Linked DNA regions of Rattus norvegicus. The protein of the gene in region 1 interacts with the protein of each later gene in a pairwise test. Links are inferred from orthologs where the notes say so. Each region holds a gene or a part of one and is shown in the gene's direction. Other genes may lie near its edges. The genes, in order: Ap1m1, Zbtb43 and Mtf1.

The links.
Region 2: the proteins of Ap1m1 (region 1) and Zbtb43 interact in binary tests that used the Homo sapiens proteins (3 or more experiments, as listed by UniProt). The two-hybrid records come from large-scale screens. The link is inferred for Rattus norvegicus from reciprocal best matches to the Homo sapiens genes AP1M1 and ZBTB43.
Region 3: the proteins of Ap1m1 (region 1) and Mtf1 interact in binary tests that used the Homo sapiens proteins (3 or more experiments, as listed by UniProt). The two-hybrid records come from large-scale screens. The link is inferred for Rattus norvegicus from reciprocal best matches to the Homo sapiens genes AP1M1 and MTF1.

The regions. Positions count from the first base shown.
Region 1 is NC_086034.1:17,620,363-17,623,493, reverse strand, and holds the end of Ap1m1 (AP-1 complex subunit mu-1), read left to right. Parts: intron 1-1,341; coding exon 1,342-1,467; intron 1,468-1,742; coding exon 1,743-1,818; intron 1,819-1,972; coding exon 1,973-1,995; 3' UTR 1,996-2,584; downstream 2,585-3,131. UniProt on the Homo sapiens protein: Subunit of clathrin-associated adaptor protein complex 1 that plays a role in protein sorting in the trans-Golgi network (TGN) and endosomes.
Region 2 is NC_086021.1:37,159,114-37,162,861, reverse strand, and holds the start of Zbtb43 (zinc finger and BTB domain-containing protein 43), read left to right. Parts: upstream 1-1,376; 5' UTR 1,377-1,476; intron 1,477-3,748. UniProt on the Homo sapiens protein: May be involved in transcriptional regulation.
Region 3 is NC_086023.1:142,346,198-142,349,914, forward strand, and holds the start of Mtf1 (metal regulatory transcription factor 1), read left to right. Parts: upstream 1-856; 5' UTR 857-941; intron 942-990; exon of another isoform or gene 991-1,645; intron 1,646-2,917; 5' UTR 2,918-2,968; coding exon 2,969-3,373; intron 3,374-3,717. UniProt on the Homo sapiens protein: Zinc-dependent transcriptional regulator of cellular adaption to conditions of exposure to heavy metals. Binds to metal responsive elements (MRE) in promoters and activates the transcription of metallothionein genes like metallothionein-2/MT2A.

The DNA.
Region 1 (3,131 bases):
TCCACTGAGAGGCGCTCTTGGTGCGCCCAAGATCAGCTGCAGTGAGTGTGTGAGCACAGGGCTCTCCTCCATGCCCTGCTTCCTGTCCCCAGGCTTACACCCACAGAGTCTCAGAATGGTCTGCCACAGTAGCTTAAATTGTTTGTGTAGCAGTGACCGGTGCTACATTCCCGCCAGAGGTGCTTGAGGGTTCGGGGTTCTTGTCTGTCATGTTTTTGTTTTTGTCTTTGAGGTTGGATCTTAGCACTGGCTGACCTGAGCACACTGTGTAGATAGTCCAGGCTAGCCTCAAACTGACGGAGATCCTCCTGCCTCTGCCTCCATCCATCCTCATGTTCCCTTGGTCTTTGATTTGTGACTGCGCCCCAGCCCAGTCGCCCGCCCTCCTTCAAGTTCAGTTCCCTCACTGATTTTTCCATCAGTGTCGATGCAGAGAAACATTCCTTCCAGCTCCGCCTAGGTCTGTACCTACGAGACCACAGTGTAACATGTAGTGCCATTTTCTACAACTCCTGCTCTCACATAGAAGTTGTTTTGTGTTTTTGTTTTGTAGGGACTTTGTTAGTTTGAAATGGTCTCCCTGAATGGTCTCAGAGGTCTGCAACTCATTCTGCAGTCCAGCGTGACCTCAAACTCTTGTACTTCAGGCTGGCCTTGAATGTGCTCCCCCCTCCTGCCTCTGTGCCCTGAAGGCCCTGCTTCCCTGTGTTCCCGAGGGCAGGTCTTCTCTCTCCGTCCCCCTTACTCTGTTGTTAGGTCCCAGGAGTCAGAGGGCTATGCGCTCTGGATCCATGCAGATGGCATGGTGTCCTCTGTGGCTGGGAGCCGATGCAGGGACCTAGGCTATGGAGCCCTGCCCTGCTGCACCCTGAAGTGTGAGCTCAGGAAACCAAAGGCCATGTGTTGTCCCAGGTATAGCTAGAGCTAGAGTGCCAGTCAGAGGGAACAGCCAAGCCCAGGCCTGATGCACTCTACATGGCCAGAGCAGGGCAGGGGTCTCAGCTAGTCCTGACTGGCCCCGCTCTCCAACCACCTCCAAGTTATCGCTGGGCTCCTGGGAACCTGCACCTACCCACACCTCAGTGTCTTCCTCTCCCTATTCACAGTCCCCTTGGGGCTGTGCAGTGGGACAGACACATCCCTCTCCCCAGTGTGCCCCGGGCTCCCTTCACTACAAGTCCTGTCTGAACGGTCTGGCTCCTCAGCCACCCGTCTCTCCCTAGGAGCTGGTGAAGCCAGGTCACACCCTGCCCCAAGTTGGCTCCTGGGAGCCATGGCTAGCTTGGGAGACAGCACATGGCTGTGGGCTGCTGCCTAACTGCCTCCTACATTGGCCCCCAGGGTGGCAAGGAGTACCTGATGCGGGCCCACTTCGGCCTTCCCAGTGTGGAAGCGGAAGACAAGGAGGGCAAGCCTCCCATCAGCGTCAAGTTCGAGATCCCCTATTTCACTACCTCTGGCATCCAGGTATGAGTGTGTTGGGGTTGGCTGCCTGAACCTCACACTTGAGCCCAGTGTCACAGCAGAAGCCCCATCCCGACATAGGGCCTATTTCCTTGGGGTCCCTCAAGTGTGTGGATGAGGGAAACACACTGTTCCCCTGAAAGGCCCAAGGTCACCAAGCCTGGGTCTTGGCTGCTGCTGACAACCCCTCATGCTATGCCAGGTCTGCCCCCTTGGCCTTGCCCCTTGGATGAGGGGTGCTGGTAGGGGTGCAACCTACTCAAGGCTCTTGTGTCCAGGTGCGCTACCTGAAAATCATTGAGAAGAGCGGGTACCAGGCCCTGCCCTGGGTACGCTATATCACGCAGAATGGAGGTGAGTGGCTGCCTGGCTAGCAGGACCTACAGAAGTCTTTCTAGGCCGTGGCTTCCTACATGGAGCTGAGGGTGGGTGCCCTGGGTATCTGTGGAGCTGAGGGTGGGTGCCCTGGGTATCTGTGGAGCTGAGAGTGAATCCCCCATGTTTCTAGATTACCAGCTCCGGACCCAGTGAGAGGCCTTGGTAACCAGCCCAGCCCACCCAGCCTCAGGGCACACCTGCCACACTCACCAAAACTGAAGCTGGAGGGTGGCCCTGGACGTGCAGCCACCCTCCCCTCAAGCCTGAGTAGACTCACACAGAACCCCTTCCCTGGTCCCATTCTGATCCAGGGTGGGAAGGAAGGGTCTGCCAGCCTCCCCCAGGGACAAGCCAGCTGGAGCTGAGCTCCTGGTGCCTCATGACTGGCCACCCACCACCCTGTGGGCGCCATCCCTGCTCACCACTGGAGCCTCCTTTTGTTGCCATTTTGCTGAGCATGTTGGTCACTGTCGTCTGTGGCTGTCCTGTCACCTTTCTGTCCTGTCCTGTGCAGCTGCCTCCTATCCACACTGGTCCTTCCCTGGCAGGACAGTCGCTCTCCTGGGCCAGCTGTGCCCCCTTGCCCGCCCTTGACCACATCAGTGTTTTCCCCGGAAGGGCACATGGCCTCAGCCTCTGCCCCAAAGTCCCTGGGCAGCACAGGCCAGTCTCACTGTACAAGACCTCGTCGTCCTCCACCCATGTGTGACAGTGACATTAAAGTCTATTTGTTACATGTGCAGCCTCTTCTCTCTGCTGTGGTCAGGCCCCACACAGGGACCCTGTTGGAAGGGTCGACTTCCTTTGCAGCAGAGCAAGCCTAGCAGTGAAGGAACCACACTTCCCTTCCCGTGGTAGCAGGAGTGCCTATCCAAGAGACACTGGATAGAGTGTCCTCTCGGTCTCTAGCTTGCCTGTCATGTCTCTGCATAGTGGCCGTCCTCTGGTGGTCTGAAGCTGTAGACCCCCATGTTCCCACCTGCGCAGGTATAGGCTGGGCCCCCATACTGGTGACTGAGCTCCTGTGGGCTTCAAGTCCTGAGTTTCTACATTGGGTGTCTGAGCTCTGACCCTCAGGACCATCTCACTCTGTGACTCTGCTCTCCTGTCACTCCTTGTCACCACACTCCTATGTGGGCTATGTTGTGCAGACCTCACTTCCAAGTACAACCTTCCCAGCACAGGGCCTGCCAGCACCCTAGAAGCCTCCCAGCCCTGCCTTACTCACCAGTGGTCACAAGGTCACACTGCACCCCACCACCTGTCACTCTACAGGTCTGCAGCAGGCT
Region 2 (3,748 bases), on another chromosome or scaffold:
CGAAGCTCTGGCATTAAAATCCTGCCGCCACACCTGCTATTTTTTTTTTAAAGATTTATTTATTTTGTATATGAGTACACTGTAGCTGTCTTCTGACACACCGGAAGAGGGCATCAGATTCCATTACAGATGGTTGTGAGCCACCATGTGGTTGCTGGGATTTGAACTCAGGACCTCTGGAAGAGCAGTCAGTGCTTTTTTTTTTTTTTTTTTTTTTTGGTTCTTTTTTTTCGGAGCTGGGGACCGAACCCAGGGCCTTGCGCTTCCTAGGCAAGCGCTCTACCACTGAGCTAAATCCCCAGCCCCAGTCAGTGCTCTTAACCACTGAGCCATCTCTCCAGCCCCCCACACCTGCTATTTTTATATAGTTCTGGGGACTGAATTCAAGTCCTCAAGTTTGCAATTCTTTGCAAAAGATTTACCAACTGAGCCATTTCCTTAAGCCCCACATTTTTCCCCCTAGCAAGATGTTCTGCACCTGTTCCCAGTTCTGTGTTTCAGTATTTGTTTTCTTCTGTTTTGTTTCCCCGAACTTTTTTTATTTTAATTTTTTTTAAATGTGTATGCGTGTTTTGCCTGCAAACGGTTTTGGGTATTGTTTGTCTGCCTGGTGTCAGTGGAGGCCGGAAGAGGGAGACAAATACCCTGGAACTGGAGTTAAGGAGGCTGTGTACCACCATTTGGGTGCTTGAAATTGAGCCCAGGTCCTCTGGAAGAGAAATGAGTGATTTTAACCGCTGAGCCATTTCTCCAGCCGTCCCAGAATTTCTTTGAATAATTCTCTTGGAGAGTCACAGCCTTCTCTCTGAATACGTCTGAGTTCCAGAGCCCTACTGGCGCGCACACCTAGGAAACTGTCTAACCTAAAGCAAATGTATGTTTGGTCCAGTCGGGGTATCCACCCTACACCAACAATGGGGACACATCCTTGCAATCCTGATACTCAGTAGGTACATGCACGAGTGGATGTCAGTCCAACTCGAGCTACATAGTGAGTTCAAAGCCATCTTGGAATTTTATTACTTTTTCTTTGGGGGACTGGGGAGGAGTGAGCGTTCGTTTACCATAGTTCGCTTTTGAGGTTAGCATATAACTTGTAAGAGTTAGTCTTCCACCACGGGCTCCAGAGATAGTACCCAGGCCTGGCGACGAGCACCTTTATACGCTGAACTATCGATTAGGTTCAAAGAGCTACGAACTACGAACTAGCTTCGAAACCATTGCGCAGGCGCCAGCCCCTAGCGTGCTCTCCTGAAGACCCGCCCAGAAAGGACTCCTGGAGCATACGCACACCACAGCGTCGCTGACACGCCTCCGGAAGCACTGGCAGTTTCGGGGGCGGGATCAGAAAGCGTATCCGAGGGGCGAGAGGCTCGGGCGGAAGTTGTCCCCGCGGTGGCGGCGGAGAATAAGGCCTTCGTACGGCAACAGGGACGCTCCGGTAGGCTGGAGCTGGGAGCGCGGAGCCGTCTGAAGGTACGGCGGTGTGGGGAGGCTGGGCGCTCGCGCGCGAGGTCGCGGTCGGGGTCACGAGTGTCCGCGACACGGGACACTGCGTTCCCTCCGACGGCGGTGATGCGGGACGGCGCGAGTGATTCCGAAGCCCCGGCTCCCCGGTTTGGAGTCCTGCGGCCTCCCGGGCGACCTCCTGGCCAAGGTCACCCGGCGGCAGGTGCACCGCAGGCTCGAGAGCTTGGAGAATCCGCCCCCGGGGCGACCTCGGGGTCGAGCCACCTACGCGCGAACCGACGCCGTGAAGGAGAACCTCGCTGCTCTGAGTTTCGCCTCTTTGTCAGACCGTTGTCACCTGTTTTTGTCCTCACCTGGCCTCTTGTCAGCTGGAGTTTACACTTTGCATCTCTGGTGCTGACAGTCTTTGGACTTTGTCTTTACCTCTGTCTCCTCTTTTCCTCAGTGTGTTTTGACCCTGCTACTGTCCCCTCGGGCCGCCCTTTGGTTCAGGGCCCGAATGTCACACCGACTTCTTGGCCATTTGTCTGGGTTTTTTTCTCTCCCTCCCAACTGGGTTTGTTTAGGCAGGGCGGGCCTTGCCTGGACCTCTGAGACATGGAAGGTGACTCATGACCCTGTGAAACTCCCCTGCCCAGGCAACATTACCAGTAGTCTGACTACAGTCTGGCCTCAGTTCTGACAAGTGTCACCAAACCTAGCAAAGTGTCACGAGCTACTGTCCTAAGTGAAGTCCCATCTCAGGATCTAGGCAGTTCAGTGTATCTTGAACTTCTCTTCCCAGAGGTTTGCACTGGTCTCCACAACTCTTTGCTCTTTCCAGGAACCCCAGGCTGCCTTCAGGACTGTTTGGAAGTGCCCTGCTTAACCAGGCCAGCATCTACATACAGGCTTAGGGAGGGCCAGACTTCCACCTGCCTTTGAGACCCTTAACTTAGCACAGTAGCAGAGTCTCTAGGAGCAGCTTAGTGAAGAACTTAAAAAACGTAATAGAAATTGATTCCTTGCTTGTTTCCAAAGTACTGTCTGAGAGGAAGACACAGGGATGAACACCGAAACTTTTGGAATGGAGCGTCTGGGACAGACAGGACACGAAACATAATATATCAAGTGCCAGGCCGCCATTCAGTAGATACAGTTTTAAGAGATGGTCAGGACATTCTAGAAATGGTTTGTGCACATCAGTGTGAACGATGTAGTGTCAACACAAGTAACCGTGGTTTGGAACACTTAATTGAATCCCTTTTCGTGATGCAAGTCAAGCCCCTCACAGCAGCAGGCTCAGCCGAGGCTTAGGAGATTGGGGCCCTGAGTGACTTTAATCTTGTGGCAGCACTTTTCCACCTCCCTCCCTCCTGGCCCCTTTAGAGTCACTGCAGAGATCTACTGAGGGGGAATTTGAGAAACACAGTACCTTTGACAGGCAAAGAACTTGTAAAGCTGGAAAAAAATACTCCTTTATTGGCGTAGAAGGTGGTCTGTTCTTTTTTCATAGGCTAGGCCTTTTGGGGTTTGTTTGTTTGTTTGTTTTTTCTGATTTACCTACCTTTAAGGTCTTTTTTTTTTTTTTTGGTTGGCTGGCTGGCTGGTTGGTTGGTTGGTTGGTTTGGTTTTAGTCTTTGCTTTTTTCGAAACAGAGTTTCTCTGTGTAGCCTCGGCTGTCCTGAAACTCACTCTGTAGACCAGGCTGGTCTTGAACTCAGAGATCCGCCTCCCAGGTGGTGAGAATAAAGACCCGTGCCACCATGCCTGGCCTTGTTTTGTTTTGGTTTTTTTGAGACAAGATCTCTATAGGGACAGGCTGGCCTCAAACTCTGAGATACTCCTGCCTCAACCTCCTGAGTGCTGGGGATTAAAGACTTTTGCCAACGGGTTTGGCTTCAAACTTTCTAATATGCCTAACAGTTGACTTACTGTCGTATTTCATTGACTCTTAGATGCCACCAAGTGTTTTCTGTTTCACCAAGAAAAGAAACCCTGCCTGGAGCAGAATTCATTCCCAGCACTTGTGCTTCTTCGTCCTAATTAAAACACTTTGGCTTAGAGTTTTAAAGAATGAAATCAGTGCACACTCTATGGGTCTTAGAAGAGGAGAAACATAAATAAAGAGCCATCAGCTAGCACCTCAGGAGATCCCGGCTTTGGGAGTCCTTTGAGTACTGTCTGCTTCAGAACTGTATCTATAGTTCTTCCAAGTGGAGTCATCCCTCGTGTCATCAGAAACTGTTTGCCAGGAGTGCTTTAGTCATTACCCAGTAGCCACAGCTGTTAAAACTGC
Region 3 (3,717 bases), on another chromosome or scaffold:
CATTGGTCTTCTCTTCCCCCATTCCCCTCTCTCAAAAGATGGTAGTTCCTGACATCTAGTCCTTTGTGGCTTAAAAACAGAGCAGCTGAACTGGGACCAAAGGGACATGTGACATTCTGGTGCGTGAGAGTCACTTAGTCAAACTTACTCAGAAGGAATGGTACAACAGTTTGGGCCTGAATCCTGATCTTGCCTATAAAGACATTGCTCCAACTTAACGTTCTAGAGAAGTCGTTCATGGGGTAAATAAGAAGTATAACGAATATAGTAGAAGCACTAGGAAAATCTCTTCTTGGGCTTTCAAATACTGCTACCAGCTAGTGGTTTCGAGGGTGGTTGGATGAGTATTAGGAGCTGACAGGAGACTGGCCAGTAGGTGGCGCTGACCTCCCCCAGAGCAAAAATCCCTCCTTAAGGTTGGAACCGCTAGCTCCGGCGGGCGCGTGAGAACGAGACACGACTGGAGCGCTCTGCTCAGCGTTCCGTCCCAGGGTCCTCAGCCAGGTGAACTATGTGCGTGGGTACAGTGGGGTGAGAAAAGGGACACCGCGGGCTGGTCTACGCATCTGGAAGGCGGCGGCTAACTGCACCCTTCCTGCTGCAGCTGTGCACGCAGCTGGGGCTGAGAACACCTCAATTCCATGGCTGACATCGCGTATTCTCCCGCGCCCGAGACCACCGCTCCCTACGGTCAGCTTCCCAGTGCAGCACGAGAGCGCCTGACCCTGCTCGCTCCGCCCACAGCCTGCTGGTTAGAGGAGCGGTCTCAGCCCCTGGATAGCAAAAGCCAATCACAAGCGGCAGCGGGCGCAGGGATCGGCCGGCCTCTCCTTCCTCCGGAAAGCGGAAGCGGAAGTGACGCTAGGGACAGGTGGGGGCAATCATGGTGCCGCTGGGGAGGGGAGAAGCTGCCGCTGCCGCTGTTGCCGGGAGCCGCGGAGGTAAAAGCAGAAGCTGGACTCGGCTGGGGCTGGGACTAACCGGGGGGCGTGGGACTTGAGCTCTCTGCCGAAGCCATTCCCGGTTGAGACTTCATTCCAGTCACCCGAGGGACCCCACCCCTCCTCCGTTTCCATGGGGATGGGTATCCAGCCCCCCTTCTCTGTTTCCATGGAGACCCGGACCCTGCCCCTCTTCTCCCAGCTCGTAGCCCCCCGACTGCCTCGGGGTTTTTCTATGTAGCCCTGGACTGGGGGTGCTTTCCCGGTCAGGGTCTTCCTGCCAGTCTCTCAGGGGTGCTCGGTTCGCAGTCCTCGGCCACCCTCACACCTCCTGGTCTTGTTACGGAAAGTTGGTCTTTGCGTTACCGCCGAAGGTGCCGGGGCAGCCCACCGGGGGACTCTTATCTCTCCTCTCAGATACAGAGAAACGTGTATTTCTGGGGTTGCGTAAGCAAAGGTTAGGGCTGGTTCCTCTCAGATTAGATCCCTTAATCTGTGTCTGGTAACTACCTCACCTTCTTGTCACTCCGGCTCACTTGCTGACTCCGAGCAGAAGAGAAAGTGCAGAACCAGGTTGAGAACCAAGTGATGTGTTGGTTATTTTAAATTCTCCTTTTGTGTCTGCCAAACCCACATTTGTAGAACCTGTGTGTTTTCGGGTGAAGGAAGAATCACCATTCCAGACCATGAAAGCTTCAAATTTGGTAATTTCCTCAAGAGACTATCTTCAAAAAAGAGACTATCTTTCATTCATGTCTTTCATTCATTTTGCTGACATTTCCTGACCGACTCGTGTCAGTATGCTTTATGTTAGGGACAGCCTTTCGGGGCAGAAAGCCTAGTCACTCTGTACACGAATACTCTCTGGTCCATATCATGTTTTACGATATAAATAATTAAAGTGATTTGCATTAGCTATTCCTTATTAAGGTTTAGTCCCCTGCAGCCCATGTGTTCTAGAAGGAAGCCACCCTCTTTCTACTGCCTGACGGGATTGTACTTTACCTGCAGTTTCTCTTTCTGTATGAAACAGGAACCATAGGTCCCACTGTCGAATGACAGGCACAGATGGGTTGCCCAAGCAGTAAAGGGCAAAAGAAGGGTTTGTAGGTGATTATGTTCAAAGCGTTGTTTCTGCACCATCAACGACGTGAGGCTGTGTACTGCCTCTCAGTGCAATTGAGGGAGGAGGGCGTTTGGACGGGAGTGCCTCACTTAAGGTTTACAGCAACTTTTCTTTAAGCAGCCACCTGTTTGCTCTTTTATCCTCATGAGCTGCATAGTACCTGCCAGTAAAGCTTAACGCCATCTTTAAAGTATGTGACAGTAAGTCACATTTAGAAGATCCTGTGAACACCAACTTTGAATTTGGGGCGGGGGAGGGGGATTTGCTTTTTCCTTAACAGTGACTGATTGTGTCAGATTTTAAGTATTTCCAAGGAAGATGAGGAGGAGAGAGAGAGACAGAGAGAGAGAGAGACAGAGAGAGAGAGAGAGAGAGAGAGAGAGAGAGAGAGAGAGAGAGATTGAGAGATTCTCACTGTGTATCTCTGGTTCACCTGGAACTCATAGAGATCCAGCTTACTTTACCTCTCAGGTGCTAGGGTTAAAGTCATTCATCACCATTCCTAGGCCTGGATTGCTCTCTGTCTTTTTGTTTTGAGACAGAGTCTTACCACTAACCCTGGTTGGCCTGGAACTCACAGAGGCCTGCCTGCCTATGCCTCCCAAGGTCTGGGATCAGTTAGCACTTTGGTTTGCTCGTTAAACTGAGGGAAAGTGAACCATAAGGATGACTTTAGGATGTAGGTGAGTCAGGGGCTGGGGATTTAGCTCAGTGGTAGAGCGCTTACCTAGGAAGTGCAAGGCCCTGGGTTCGGTCCCCAGCTCCAAAAAAAAAGAACCAAAAAAAAAAAAAAAAAAGGATGTAGGTGAGTCTTGTGCTATGGTTCTAACTCTGGTGTTATCTGTTGCAGAAAGGCCATTACCTTTTCATTTCTCACAATTGGGCTGAGCACAAGTGAACCATGGGGGAACACAGTCCAGACGACAACATCATCTTCTTTAAGGGAGAGGAAGATGACCTAACCCCGCATGACAAGATGCTCAGGTTTGTGGATGACAACGGACTGGTGCCTTCCTCATCTGGAACTGTTTATGATAGGACCACTGTTCTCATAGAACAGGACCCTGGCACTTTGGAGGATGATGAAGACGATGTACAGTGTGGAGAACACTTGCCTTTTCTGGTGGAAGGTGAAGAGGGCTTCCTAATAGATCAGGAAGCAATGTCCCAGGGTTACGTACAACACATTATCTCACCAGATCAGATTCATTTGACTATAAACCCTGGTTCCACGCCCATGCCAAGAAACATTGAAGGTGCGACTCTTACTCTGCAGTCGGAATGTCCTGAAACGAAACGGAAAGAAGTAAGTAAAGCCGCAAATGAGGGCCCGGTGTGGCTTTGGGGCAGCTCCTTCTGCAGCGCGCTGGCAGTTTTAACTGGGGGTTAAAGGAGCTCCTGGGCTAAGAGCCTTCTGTAGTCATGCCGCTCAACAGCACATCCGCTTCCTGTTTTGTTGTGACTGCTTTCTAGAGCTTTTGATTGTATGGCCACATTGTAATTGAGGAATACTGCATTGTAATATCTCAGATGTTCCTCTCCAAATCATAAATAAAGTAGAAATTTCACCAAAGTGAATTCATGTTTATACTGTGAAAGTAACAGCATGGCTTCTCTGATAGTCAAGTGACTAGATTTGTGTGTAATAAT